2 linked regions of the Oryzias latipes genome follow. The protein of the gene in region 2 purifies or fractionates together with the protein of the main gene of each other region. This does not show direct contact. Links are inferred from orthologs where the notes say so. Each region holds a gene or a part of one and is shown on either strand. Other genes may lie near its edges.

Evidence for each region.
Region 1: the proteins of acbd6 (region 2) and glycylpeptide N-tetradecanoyltransferase 1 purify together in Homo sapiens (co-immunoprecipitation; 3 studies listed by BioGRID and IntAct, with this or other methods). This does not show direct contact. The link is inferred for Oryzias latipes from reciprocal best matches to the Homo sapiens genes ACBD6 and NMT1.

What each region holds. Positions count from the first base shown.
Region 1 is NC_019866.2:5,207,280-5,213,379, forward strand, and holds the end of glycylpeptide N-tetradecanoyltransferase 1, read right to left. Parts: intron 5,953-6,100; coding exon 5,878-5,952; intron 5,606-5,877; coding exon 5,461-5,605; intron 5,379-5,460; coding exon 5,260-5,378; intron 4,895-5,259; coding exon 4,803-4,894; intron 4,679-4,802; coding exon 4,562-4,678; intron 4,410-4,561; coding exon 4,239-4,409; intron 4,164-4,238; coding exon 4,055-4,163; intron 3,482-4,054; coding exon 3,311-3,481; intron 3,222-3,310; coding exon 3,057-3,221; intron 2,960-3,056; coding exon 2,822-2,959; intron 2,289-2,821; coding exon 2,268-2,288; 3' UTR 1,709-2,267; downstream 1-1,708.
Region 2 is NC_019862.2:32,234,818-32,241,004, reverse strand, and holds the start of acbd6 (acyl-CoA-binding domain-containing protein 6), read left to right. Parts: upstream 1-2,108; 5' UTR 2,109-2,294; coding exon 2,295-2,567; intron 2,568-2,853; coding exon 2,854-2,918; intron 2,919-4,378; coding exon 4,379-4,475; intron 4,476-6,187. UniProt on the Homo sapiens protein: Binds long-chain acyl-coenzyme A molecules with a strong preference for unsaturated C18:1-CoA, lower affinity for unsaturated C20:4-CoA, and very weak affinity for saturated C16:0-CoA. Does not bind fatty acids. Plays a role in protein N-myristoylation.

The DNA.
Region 1 (6,100 bases), on a different chromosome or scaffold from region 2:
TGTCGTGTATATATACGTACAAGTACAAATGTGTCTATGATTAATAGTAACTATAGTGGCATAATTTACATGCATATATCTGGCATCGTTTGCTTTTGTTTTTAGTCACAATTAACCAGAACTGCCTTAATCCTTGGTGGCATAGATTCAACAAGGTCCTGGAAACATTTCTCAAAGAGTTTGGTCCATGATGTCGACATGACAGCATCACGCATTGCTGCAGATTTGTCTGCTGCACATCTACGATGCCAACCTCCCGTTCCACCACACCCAAAGGTTCTCCATTGGGTTGAAATCTAGGAACTCTGCAGGCCATTTGAGTCCAGTGAACTCATTTTCAAGAAACCAGTCTGAGATGATTCCAGCTTTATGACATGATGCAGTATCCTGCTGGAAGTAGTCATCACTGTGGTCATAAAAGGATGGACATGGTCAGGAAATGATCAGCTGGTCTAAGGGGCCCAAAGTGTCCAAACTGCTCACTGGATGTGATCTCTTTTTCTGACAATTCTCTGTAAACCATAGAGATGGTTGTGGGTGAAAATCCCAGTAGATCAGGAGTTTCTGAAATACACAGCATAATAGTCACTTAACTGGCTTTTCTTCCCCGTTCTGATGCTCGGTTTGAACTGCAGCAGATCCTCTTGACCATGTCGACATGCCTATATCCATTGAGTTGCAGCCATGTGATTGGCTGATTAGCAATTTGCGTTAGCAAGCAGTTGGACAGGTGTGACTAATAAAGTGGCCAGTGAGTCTATATCTGGATAGTCTTTAGTATTTTTTGTTTTGATTGAAATAAATCAATTCCAAAGTATGTGATTTCTTAAATTAAAAAATGACATCAAAAAACACATTTTAGTGTATAAATGTGAATGAATGGGGCTGTAAAGTGGAAAATCATTCATGTTTGAGGGGAAAGTTTCACCGTAATTATGGACACAACACAATTAAAAGTTCACTAATGTTGTATATATACCAAAAAGTAAATACAAATCTGCATTTCTTATCCTCTGGTTTTTAACTTAATTTGGAAAGAAAACTTTAAGCTAATTGGTTTAAATTGTTTGATCAGTTAATTACTTTATAGCAGGTATTTAAATAAAAAAGGTATAAAATAAAATTGTTTTTTGTTTCCTTAAACCATTAAACCCTTTTTCAAGGTTTGCTTTGATCACTTTTTAAAACTTTGTTGGAACAAACCACTTTTTTTTTTTTAATTACAGTAAAACATTCTTCTTCAGCAATGGAGGATGAATTTAACAGACAGCAATCTGATAATCAGAAGACAGAACTAGGTGAAATATTTGTCCAAAGCAAATATTGTGAAAAACATTTATTTTTATCTCCTTTTCTGACTTTGAGGCTGCGGTTCATATTTTCTGAGTTAGTGCTGAGCAACTGTACAATTTTCCTACGGGGGGGGGGGGGGGGGGGGGAACTTAAATAAAATCTGAATATGTATTAATGTAAAAAAAATTAAAAAAAATAAAACTTCAGAAACCGTTTTTGTAACCACTTAAAACAAATGCAAATGCAGCATTTTGTTGCTCATTTTGTGCGTTACAACAGCTGCAGACCAAAGGTCACGAGGACACATCAGGACACAAGATGGCGTCAACCTGAAGCGGTGGTGAAACAGGAGCAGCAGGGCAGCACAAACAATAAGACTCACAACCAAAAAAAATACTCTCAACAGAAGCCCAAATGTCCAGTTTTGGTATTTATTACCGCATCTTTTTCAGGGCCTCTGAACGTGTTAAAATATTTTTTCTTATTTTGATGGGATTTTTTTTAGCTCTAAAACTTAAGAATGAGTGATTTGTTTTTATTAGCAAAAAGCATTTCCAACATTTAGGAATAAAATTAAACAGAAGATTCTAGTCTGCATGTGTTCAGGGCATAAACGCAGTCATGTCTGACATTATTTACAGGTTCTGAAGATTTTCTGGATATGCCAGCTGCGAGTGTTTTGGTGGCCAGTCATCTGTGCAAACAGATGCAGATTTGTGTACAATCAAGACAGCTTTCTGATGAAATACAGTTGTCTGCGATGAGAACTAGAATGGCTTATGGTCCGTGTGATCGGGGAGGGTGGAAAGATGCGGGCTTTCCCAGCCTCCAGGCCTGGCAGCGGTAGTGCAGCTCAGAGTTCAGAAGGTCAGAAAGTAAAAATGGGCGGTAGTTTCCTCTCCTAAGCAGGAAGTCATCAGTCCACAGTGCGTTCTTTTGCCTCATTGGTAACTCGTGCTCTCAGGGTTCAGCTGTCACTGCAGAACCAAGCCAACCTGAGACAAAAACCAACCAGAACAAGTTTTTAAATTCAAAAGTTTGCCACGTTGCTGAAAAAATTAAATAAGGTTATAGTTTCTCTGATGCCCTGTCAGATCTGTGCTCACCTGGCGTGCACTGTATGAGCCTTAATTGGTTTACCCGTGTTACTTCACCCATTTACGCTTTATTTTCTGTATTTATTTACTCATTTTAAAAGATTATTTCTTTTTTTTTCTTCCCTCTTTTAATTTTACGTATTTTCTCAACTGGTTTAATTTCTTCATTTTTTTTCTCAAACTAAATTTGCTTCGAAAGCATACATTTGACATAAAATAATGTGAATGTTTCCAATTAAAAGCCTGCAACATTTTGACAACCTTATCTGCAAAAGGATTGTTTTAATCATAATTAAACCACCACTGAAAACACTTTGAAAATAAATCAAAAGATGACCCGACTGGGACTTTAAAAAAAAAAGCAAACAGTCACTTCATGCCCATCTGCAGAAAGTGGTACGTCTAGGTCATGGTGTGAAGCTAAGACCTACCTTCTCTGGCCCCATGCTGGGACACTTCCAATTGTACAGATAATACTGTAGATTCCCATCACCGATGCCAAATTTCAACTTCTCCAAGAAAGTCTTGTTTTCCATTAAATCCAGTGCATTAAAGACATCAAAGCCTTTCTGTAAACACACACAAAAATCAGTTTCTTGTGTGCATAATCTTTAAGCAGCAGTGTTTTTTTTTTGTTTTTTTTTAAAGAAATGACGAAGAACAAACCGATTTGGCCAGAATGAGAGCATCAGACATCAAATCAAGCAGTGGGGTGGTGGTGTGCACATTGTAAAAAGAGTATGCTGCTTTGAGACTCCGGTGCACAGGATGGTTCATGATGGTGGAGGGCAGCGTGTAGAAACTCAGGAAGTCCGTCACTTTTCCATTCGACTGTCAGACGGTAAAATAAAAAAAATTAAAACAATCACACGGATCAGTGCCATAGCGGCAGAGCTAAAACCTTCTCAACAACCATTTACCTCCACAAGATAGGTGTCAACAATGTTCTCCTGGGGCAGAAACCAGTGTTCCACCTCCTCCTGGTTCATGACAGGCACAAGGTTGAACTGGCTCAGGTATTCACGGAAAAGGCGATGCACCACTGGCACATCCTTCTTGGTCATCGGTCGCAGACCAGAAGTCTTTGGAGCCTAAAGGAGGAGGGGCAAGGGAAGGGCTTGCATCTTAAAAGTTTCCTTTAACTATCTGACTACCAGAGGAAAAAAATAGCACACTCTAATTTTTTTTTTAATCTACCAAAAACTACAATTCCCAGAATCCCCCCCATTTGCATCTGACATCATTGAAAAGCCCCAAATGTCCTCTGTAGACACCAAAATGAGGTCATTTAGCAGCAGTGGTTGGGAAATATTCAGGTTATTCTTAATTTGTCCTCTACAGATTTCTGTAGAAATCTATTCCATTTCTGTGGATTTTGCTGTAAAAAAAGACAACAAAAATCTCTAATGGAATTAATTTTTTTGTTCCGTTTGAGATTTATTGTGCAACTATTGAATAGAACATTAAATAATCAGTAGAAAAAGAAAAACATCAAGCATTCCCTATAAAGTGTGCAAATCATGGAATACTAAAAAATTTTTTAAAAAAGTAATATTTACCCCAGTACCAGGTGAAAACGACCACGTGGTATTTTACATTTTAAAGATCTGATTAAAAAAGAACAAATTTCTTAGATTTGCTGCTTAATTTGTGCCACAACTAACCTCGGGCAGGCGGTAAAGCTTCATTGTGCGCTGCATAGTCATGTTCCTGCTCAGATGGGAGAACTTGACCTCAATTAGTTTCCGTGGGTTCAAGGAGCGATGCCAGTACCTTTGCAAATGAAAAATGGCAAAAATAAACTCAGGAACATCATGAGGAAGAAAAAGTTGCTTCTCCATGACAAACCTGCAGGTGCCTACAGGTTTGGGCAGCACGACTCCGGCTGTGTACACAGCCTGGAAGATGCCCTGCAAATTGACCCTTCTAGTGATCTCTCTGATCAGAACTGGAGCGACCCGTTTGGAGCGAAGCTTCTTGTGGACACAAAGGAAGTTGATCTCAACCATTTTCTTTTCTCTAGAGCAAAAAAAAAAGAAAGAAAAAATATTTTAAACAAAACATTTTAGACAATTTCTCATGTTTAAACAGTCCCACAACTCATTCAGACAAAAATGGGAGGTGTGATAGAAATATTGACATTCATTCAGGTCAAGATTTCATCTCTTTACATATCGTAGATGCGAATGTTGGCTGGAATGGCGCTGATGAATCCCACAAGCTTCTGGTTGGAGTTCACCCTCACACCACAATGCCACTGTGGCAACCAGCCTGGAGGTCGCAGCGCCCTGAGAAACACAGCAGCCAGTCACCTTCACAGAACGTCCATCTGCTCTTTGTTATAAACACACCTATTTTTAAAATTATGTTGGATCTTTTTTAAAGGCAAAATGATAAATTAGGAAAAGTTACCAGAGAAGAAACTCAGGAGAGTAGTCAAATCTGAACATGTTGTCATCGTCTTCCACATAGTTCTCATTGAGAAGAGTGTAAAGCTCCTTAAGCTGTTTTAGAGAAGCACAAGGGAGCAGTTAACCGTTTCAGATTCAGAAAATCCCTTCTGAAAGAGAAGACTTGAATCTGAAAGTTACATTTTTTTAACCCACGTAGATACTAAAAGCTCTGAGAGTTTAAGATGTGCAGCCTATGATATATAAGCTCTTGCATTGTCTAAATAAAAGATCAAGTTTAACATATTTCGGCAGTTTAACGGCAAAAATATCCAAGTTGCTTAAAAAAATGAAAGCATAGATTGAATCTAAATGGATTAATATTATTAAAAGTAATAATATGAACTGTAGATTATTATTTTAATTGAAAAGGATTGAATGCCCAGGTATTGTTTCATATGTCATTCAACCTCTCGTACCACAGCGGGATCCCCCAGGTCGAGGGTGTCCCAGCTGAAGCCCTGCGGGAGGCTGTAGGGCTCCTCTCGAATGGCGTCCTTATCAGGTTCAATAGAGCCATGAGACGTCACCGTCTCCCCTGTGAAGTCAAAATAACACGCCACATTATGACATATGTCTCGCTTGACCTTAAGTTCTGAAACCTCTGATGTTTCTCACACCTAGCTTGGGAACGGGCTGCGTGTCCCAGAACTGGTAACTTCTCCGAGTGGCTTCCTCCATGGTCTTGGCTGGACCTTGGCCCACAGAGAAGAGTTCGATGGCCTTTTGGATCTCCTGTAGCTTATCAGCTGGCAATGAATTCACCTGTTTTTGAAGACCAAATAAAAAGATCTTTATTAAATTAAATGAAAAGAGGGGAGCAGCAGACAGAGAAGCTTACGACATTCAAAATGAGATCTACTTTTTATCCAAGATTAAATGAACCTTCCACATAAAATTTGATCTTAAAGACCCACTCCAATCATCTTATGATCTAATGTTAGAGCCTTCCCAGTGGTCTTTCAATTATGATTAAAAAACTTTCATTTTCTATAACGTAGTTTCTGTAGAGCGGCAGTAGTTCATTAGAAATTCACCTCTAAGTCGTGAGCGTGACCACTGGCACCGAGTAAGCCCGAGTCATCCATCTGTTTAGACGCTGTCCTGCTTGCCTACAGCCCCTCACACACCCAACCTAACATTAATGGTGCAACAAAAATGGCGAGCAATACCTGAGCTATCCTGCCGTACGGTTTTGAGCCAGATGCCAGCACAGACGAGGAAAACAAAGACGTTCGTGGATTTATTCGTCTACAAGTG
Region 2 (6,187 bases):
TATTTTAAATAGAATGATACTTTGTTTTTTTAATAATAACAACAGGTCCATTTAAAAGCATTATAAGCTTTAAAATGGATTTGTTTCAATGCCATTATCAATAACAAAAAAACAGAACAATAAAACAATAAATGACATTGATTTTCAATTATCGTAATATTGTAAATAATTTTTTGGGAAGCCCTAAAGATTACATTTTATTAGCCAGACTTATTTTAGTTGGCAAATGGCTCCTTTAAAATGACTTGAAAGTTAAAAATTGAGTTGGAGCTTCCATTTTTATGCATTTCTTGGTTGATTTAGTTATGATTTCACCCAACTGATTTTAAAATCCTAGATGACAATTCAGTTTGCATTTTGATTGTTCGATTTGAAAACGGCTATTATTTATTACAGGTTATGTGTGAAAATATCTTCATAAAAAACATCAGGCATTTTAAAATCAAATATGTAATAATTTAAGTCTTTAAGTGTGCTGGTGTAAGCAAAATATTTACTTTTTACTCTCAAACTAAATAAATTACACAGCTGCTCTTTAAAATATGAAATGAAACATAGGAGTAACTACTGTAATATGCCTAAAAAAAGGAAATCAACTAAACTGCATTTAGATATAGGCTGTCCAGGAAAACACCTCCGAGGCCAAAGACTTCCATTTTTGTGGTACAATAGCGACCTCCTCTGGACAAATTGTGTAAATAGGTTATTATTATTATGATTATTATTATTATTCCCATTTTTTTCTATTGATTGAAGATGGCACATGGCTTAACATACAGTAAATTAACACACACACACACAAATCAGTATTTGCAGTCTTTTAATAAGTGTTATATATTATAACTATATATGTTTAAGGGTTACTCTAACTGCACAATGTTAATATGCATATACATTCCCAAATAGGCCTGTTTTAACCCTTGTGCTATCCTAGGCACGTTAACATTGGGAGTGGGGTCATCTAGACCCACTAGACAGTGCTCTGAACCTTTTTTCTTCAATGATTTGTGATCTTCACTGGTGTCCATGGATTACATGAAATCCTTCCACCTTTATCCACCTTTGTCATGGTAGGGAGAACACCTCAATGCAAGGGGGGGGGGGGGGGTCATCTAATACATCACAAGGGATAATTCACATCATTTTCTATATCAGCATCCTTTATTTATATGTCTGTTCGTGTATTAAGGCTTTAATTACATTTCATGTATACCAAAAATAAATAGAAAATTGGTTTTTTTTTAGCACTCTGTTTATGAACAGAAAATGTAGAAGATTAAATTACAGTTCTTCATTTTCGTTTGGTAGAAGGATTTCATATGTTACATATCAGAAATAGAGCCTGGGAACATCATTTTTGGTTTTAACCAGTTTTGTATATGATTTTTAAATGTTTTTTTTTATGCATTCAGAAATTAAATAATCAATTGTATCAAAAGAATTTTCACAGAGTAAATGCATTTTGTTTTGAGAAATACTGTTCATAAGTCATGGTTTGTTATGTCTGTTAATTCAATTTCCTTGCTAAATACGCGAATCCACTTAAATTGAAAGGGAGTTGTGGTTATGAAAAGAGAAAGGGTTTAGTTCAGTAGCCTAAATTTACTTTTTGTTTTGTTTTTTTGGACAGTAGTGTTAGTGGTCCTTTGTTCTAAAGAGGCAAGTCATTAATACCTGGTTTCATCTGTATTTTATGCAGCATCTAATTTTTTCCTTAAGATTCATTTTAGTTTTTAATTACTTGCATTATTACATATTTTTGTGTGTGTTTTTGTTTGCTTCTTTTTGTAAAATACGTTTTAAACAAATGTTTTACAATTAGGCTTAGTTAGTTCTACAGCTTTCTAGTTGACCAAACAGAGAAAAAGGAAAAATATAGCACCTCATTAATGACGATGTCATTTGAAGGGCTTACTGCAAAATATTATAGAAATTAACGTCCATAATCCAAAAATATGATCTCTGTCTCGCCAAAAGAAACCATAGTAAACTTTAAAATATATTTATTTTATTTATTTACTTTATTTTAATGTTTTAGTTTCAACAATTTGAAGAGAATGTGAGTAGAAGTGAAGCCGGAACGATTATTCTGCAGCCTTATGCGACTCCGGCGCTTTTAGTTGGCAGGACCAGAGATGGACCAACGGTAGAAACAAATCCCATCGTCGCGGAGTCTCAACGATGACGGAATAACCGTGAAATAATGTGAAAACGGTCACCGGAACCATCGTCCTCTCTCGTTTTTAACCGTCGCCGGTAGCTTCACCCTCGCGGGTTCTTTGAACATTAAAACAATGGCTTCTGGTTCGCCGTCGTCCTCGCCGGACACTGCGACAGGCTCTGGTACTGATCCAGCCCGGCCCGACACAGGGGAACCTTTCGGCGGAGCAGGCTCGGATTCGGACTCGGACTTGGGTTTGGGTAAACTTGACTGTGGCGCTATGGGGGAGCGGTTGGAAGGCGAGGAGCTTGAGCGGGAGTTCGACTTTGCAGCCGACCGAGTTAAAGACTTGATCCAGACGGCGAGCAGGGAGCAGCTGCTGTACCTGTACGCCCGCTACAAGCAGGTATGTGACGTCACTGGGACAGGTGGCGTCGGGTCGCCCGGTGACGTTCTAGTTCTACCGCCACTAGCCTCAAAGAGGTCGTGACATTTAAACGAAGGAGTTAAACCTCCTCATGTAGCCAAAGCATGAATGGAGGTCAATGACACAAGTCAATAGATTGTGCTGAGAAGTCAAAACCTTCTCTGGTTAAACTCGGGTTTTCATAGTAAATCTCATTCATATTTTGGTTTTTATTGAAAGTTCTGTTCATATTAATGTTACCGGCGTCATTTTTCCATATTCCCAGGTCAAAGTTGGAAAATGCAACACATCTAAGCCGGGTTTCTTTGACTTTGAAGGACAGAGAAAGTGGTAAGTTACTTAATGATTATAATGTAATGCACAACAGTAAAGCCCCACTCAATCATCTTTAGATCTATTTTAGAAGCCTTCCCAGTAGTTTCTTAATTTAATTTAGTCTAAATCCAAAAACTGTCGTTTTCTAGGACATAGTCTCTGCAGGGCGGCAGGAGTTCATTAGAAATTCACCTCTGAGTTGTGGGCGGGACTATTGGACTATGGAGTAAGCCTGCCTTAATTTCCCAGCATCCCTTTGTTTACACTCTCTCCCACTAGTTTACTGCCCCTCACACCCCCAACCTAACATTGCCGGTGCAACAAACATGGCAGCAATGTCAGAGCTGTGCAGCCGTCCAGTTCTGACCCGGACACTGGCTCAGACCAGGAAAACAGCGCCAGGATGATGCGGAGCAGGCAGCTTACGGCCGGCTGAGTGGAGTTTCTAAGGAACAACCGCAAGCTTTTTCAGATGGCAGTTTTGATTCACAACAATTTGACCAAAGACAAACTCAGAAACACAGTTTAAATCAGAATCTTATTCAAACATGTCCTCCAACGTGACACAAGAAGAGCATGTTTAAAAACACAAAAAAAATATTTTCATTGGAGTGGGTCTGTAAGTAATAATCAGCTTTATTGACCAAGTATGAGTGCATAGCAAGGGGTCTGGCTTGTGTGACTAAAGCTGTTATGTAAAACATCAACGCATAAATAGGTGTAAATATATGAAAAAGAGGGGGAGTAGATGTACACGGCATTAAAGCGGGTTTCAAGTCCTCTTGTTTGAGATTTCACACACAGTGACTGAGAGTTGATCAGAGCCACAGCTTGGGGGCAGAAGCTGTCTCTCTGGTGGGCGGTTTTGGCGTAAAGAGCCCTGAAAGGCCGGCTGAGGGGAGGGGTCTGTATTGGGTCCGCTGAGATCTGACCAGCCCACCTCCTGACCCCGGACCGCTACAGGTCCTGCATGGAGAGGAGGTTGGAACCTATAGCCGGACGTTCCCACACAACCATTTTTCTGTTCCATTGAAATTCCAACATAGATGGAGCTTCAGGTGATGTTAGAGGAGACGATCAGATGATTGTCTTCCTCACCAAATGTTCTGTCTGGAATCTGTTAGAACAAGAGAAAGGACACATTTTCTCATCCTTAAACCAAACTGGGACTTGAAAATCCTCAGTGTCGTCACGTCTGACCAGAATTCAGAACATTTAATCACTAAACAGACAGTGATTGACTGTGGTTTTATGCTTTTATCGTTTTATCGTCTTTTATCCGTGTTGGATATTCTTATGCGTCATTTCTTCCTCTTCAAATCCATTTTTTTTCTTCCATAACACGGAGACTTCAGATGGAATGTAGCTTATGGCTAAATTCTGGCATACTTTTACCTTTGTGTTTATTCTTTATCTTCATAATGTCCTGTTTTTAATAAATAAATGTTTAAAAGGGAATTGTGATGTTTTGACAGGCAAGCCTGGAAGCAGCTTGGAGACATGGATGCAGAGCAGGCAATGCAAGAATACATAACCTGTGTTAACGCGCTGGACCCTGAAGGCATCGCAAAGGTAAGTGAAGCACTCGTGAGGGGATAGCGCTCATAAATGGAACATTGGTGTTTTTAGATGATGTTTAGATGTGACCAGAATGATCCTGTAGTCTTCACTTGTTTAAGTTATTGGTTTCTCTTATTTTCTGACACTTCTGTATGTTGATCATTCAGCAGATTTTATGCCATATCTTCATCGGTTCTCTTACTGTTACCATCTTTACTTGAAAGCAAAATGCTGGAAAATCATATCTGTCATCAGTTTGGTATTTAATGTTCATGAAAACAGACTCCAATAACAAATAAACCTGGGGGGTATTCCAGGAAGCATGTTTAAACTAGCCTGACTTTAATCCTGAACTCTGGCTGAAATCCGCCTGAACTTGCTTACTCTGGGTATGTCGGTTCCCAAAGACCGGATATGAGTTGGCGTAATTACGCTCCACTTGGTAACCCTGGGTTAATGCACGTGCACAGCAGGTACATAAAGACATTCTCAATAGATCGCAGATTTCCAGTGTCGCCATGGAAACGCTTGGAGAAATATATATAAATTATCCAACTTATCATCCTCTCATGGTGGAAAAAGTATTATCTGAGCTTCTTCATCCACTAAATCATCTTCAAATGGACACGCCATGCTGCTTCCCCTCTCTGTAAACAAACTAACCTTCAACTAAACCTGCTCCAGACCAGGTTATGTTCAGAGCATGAGTTGCTATGGCAACTTGACCTACCCTGAAACATACCTCCATTTCAGGAACCTAAGGCTGAGGTTATCAACTTCCTTAGCCTCAAACTTACCGTGGGAGCTAGCATAACCTGCTTTCTGGAATACCCCCCCCCCTGATGACAAAACCACAACCATTCTGTCTTTTCTGTTTGGGGGATGTAGTGTCGTATCTCTGCCAGTAGGTGTCAGTGTCATTTAGTCAGGATTCCTGCAGACTAAAGAACTTCCAAATACTTTTTAGTATTTTTAAAACTTGATTATCTGGGATAAGAATTTCTCTGGAAATCATTGAATTATAGATGCCAGTCAGTATGAGGATTTCCAAAATGTTTTCATATAAAAGCACAATAAACCATTTCTTCTTCTTCTTTTTATCTTTTTGTTTTTATTGTTATTTTTGTGAAGCTGCAAAGAAATAAAAGTATTGTATAGGGTTTTAACATAAACATGTTCCTTCACCACTTTGACCACAGTAGGAGTTAAAAGAAGCATCTTTCCTGTCATGTTTTGTTCAGCTTATCCATTGTGTTTAATGAAGTTTTATTTTTAACCTTTCTAGTCAGAAGACTTTATTTTATCCCAGGAGGAAATTGCATTTTCAGCAGAGCTCCGATCACCAAATTTCCGATAAAAGAGGATCTGTTACGATACAGATCAGTGCAAACTAGCAGTGTTTGAAACCAAACACATAAAACTGTCAGGTGGTTTTCTGAGGTCAGCATGTTTTCATGGAACAGTTCCTGAGGGGATCCTTTGTGCCAGGGCTTTGCCGGCATGGTCGGTGTTTGTTGCCGTGGTTCTCGCCCTTCTGGGGCGGCTGGGGTCCAACATTGCGGCCTCAGGCAGTGGAATGGAGCCCCGTCTGTCCCGGTGGCCATGTTCCTGTGGCTGAGCTGGCTGATTCTTCACAGCAGAGCCTTAAGTGTCTTCTACTAGTTAAGAAGTATTCATTGTGTGGGGGGTCAAGGGATGTATGTGTTGATGGAGGGGAGGGGGGC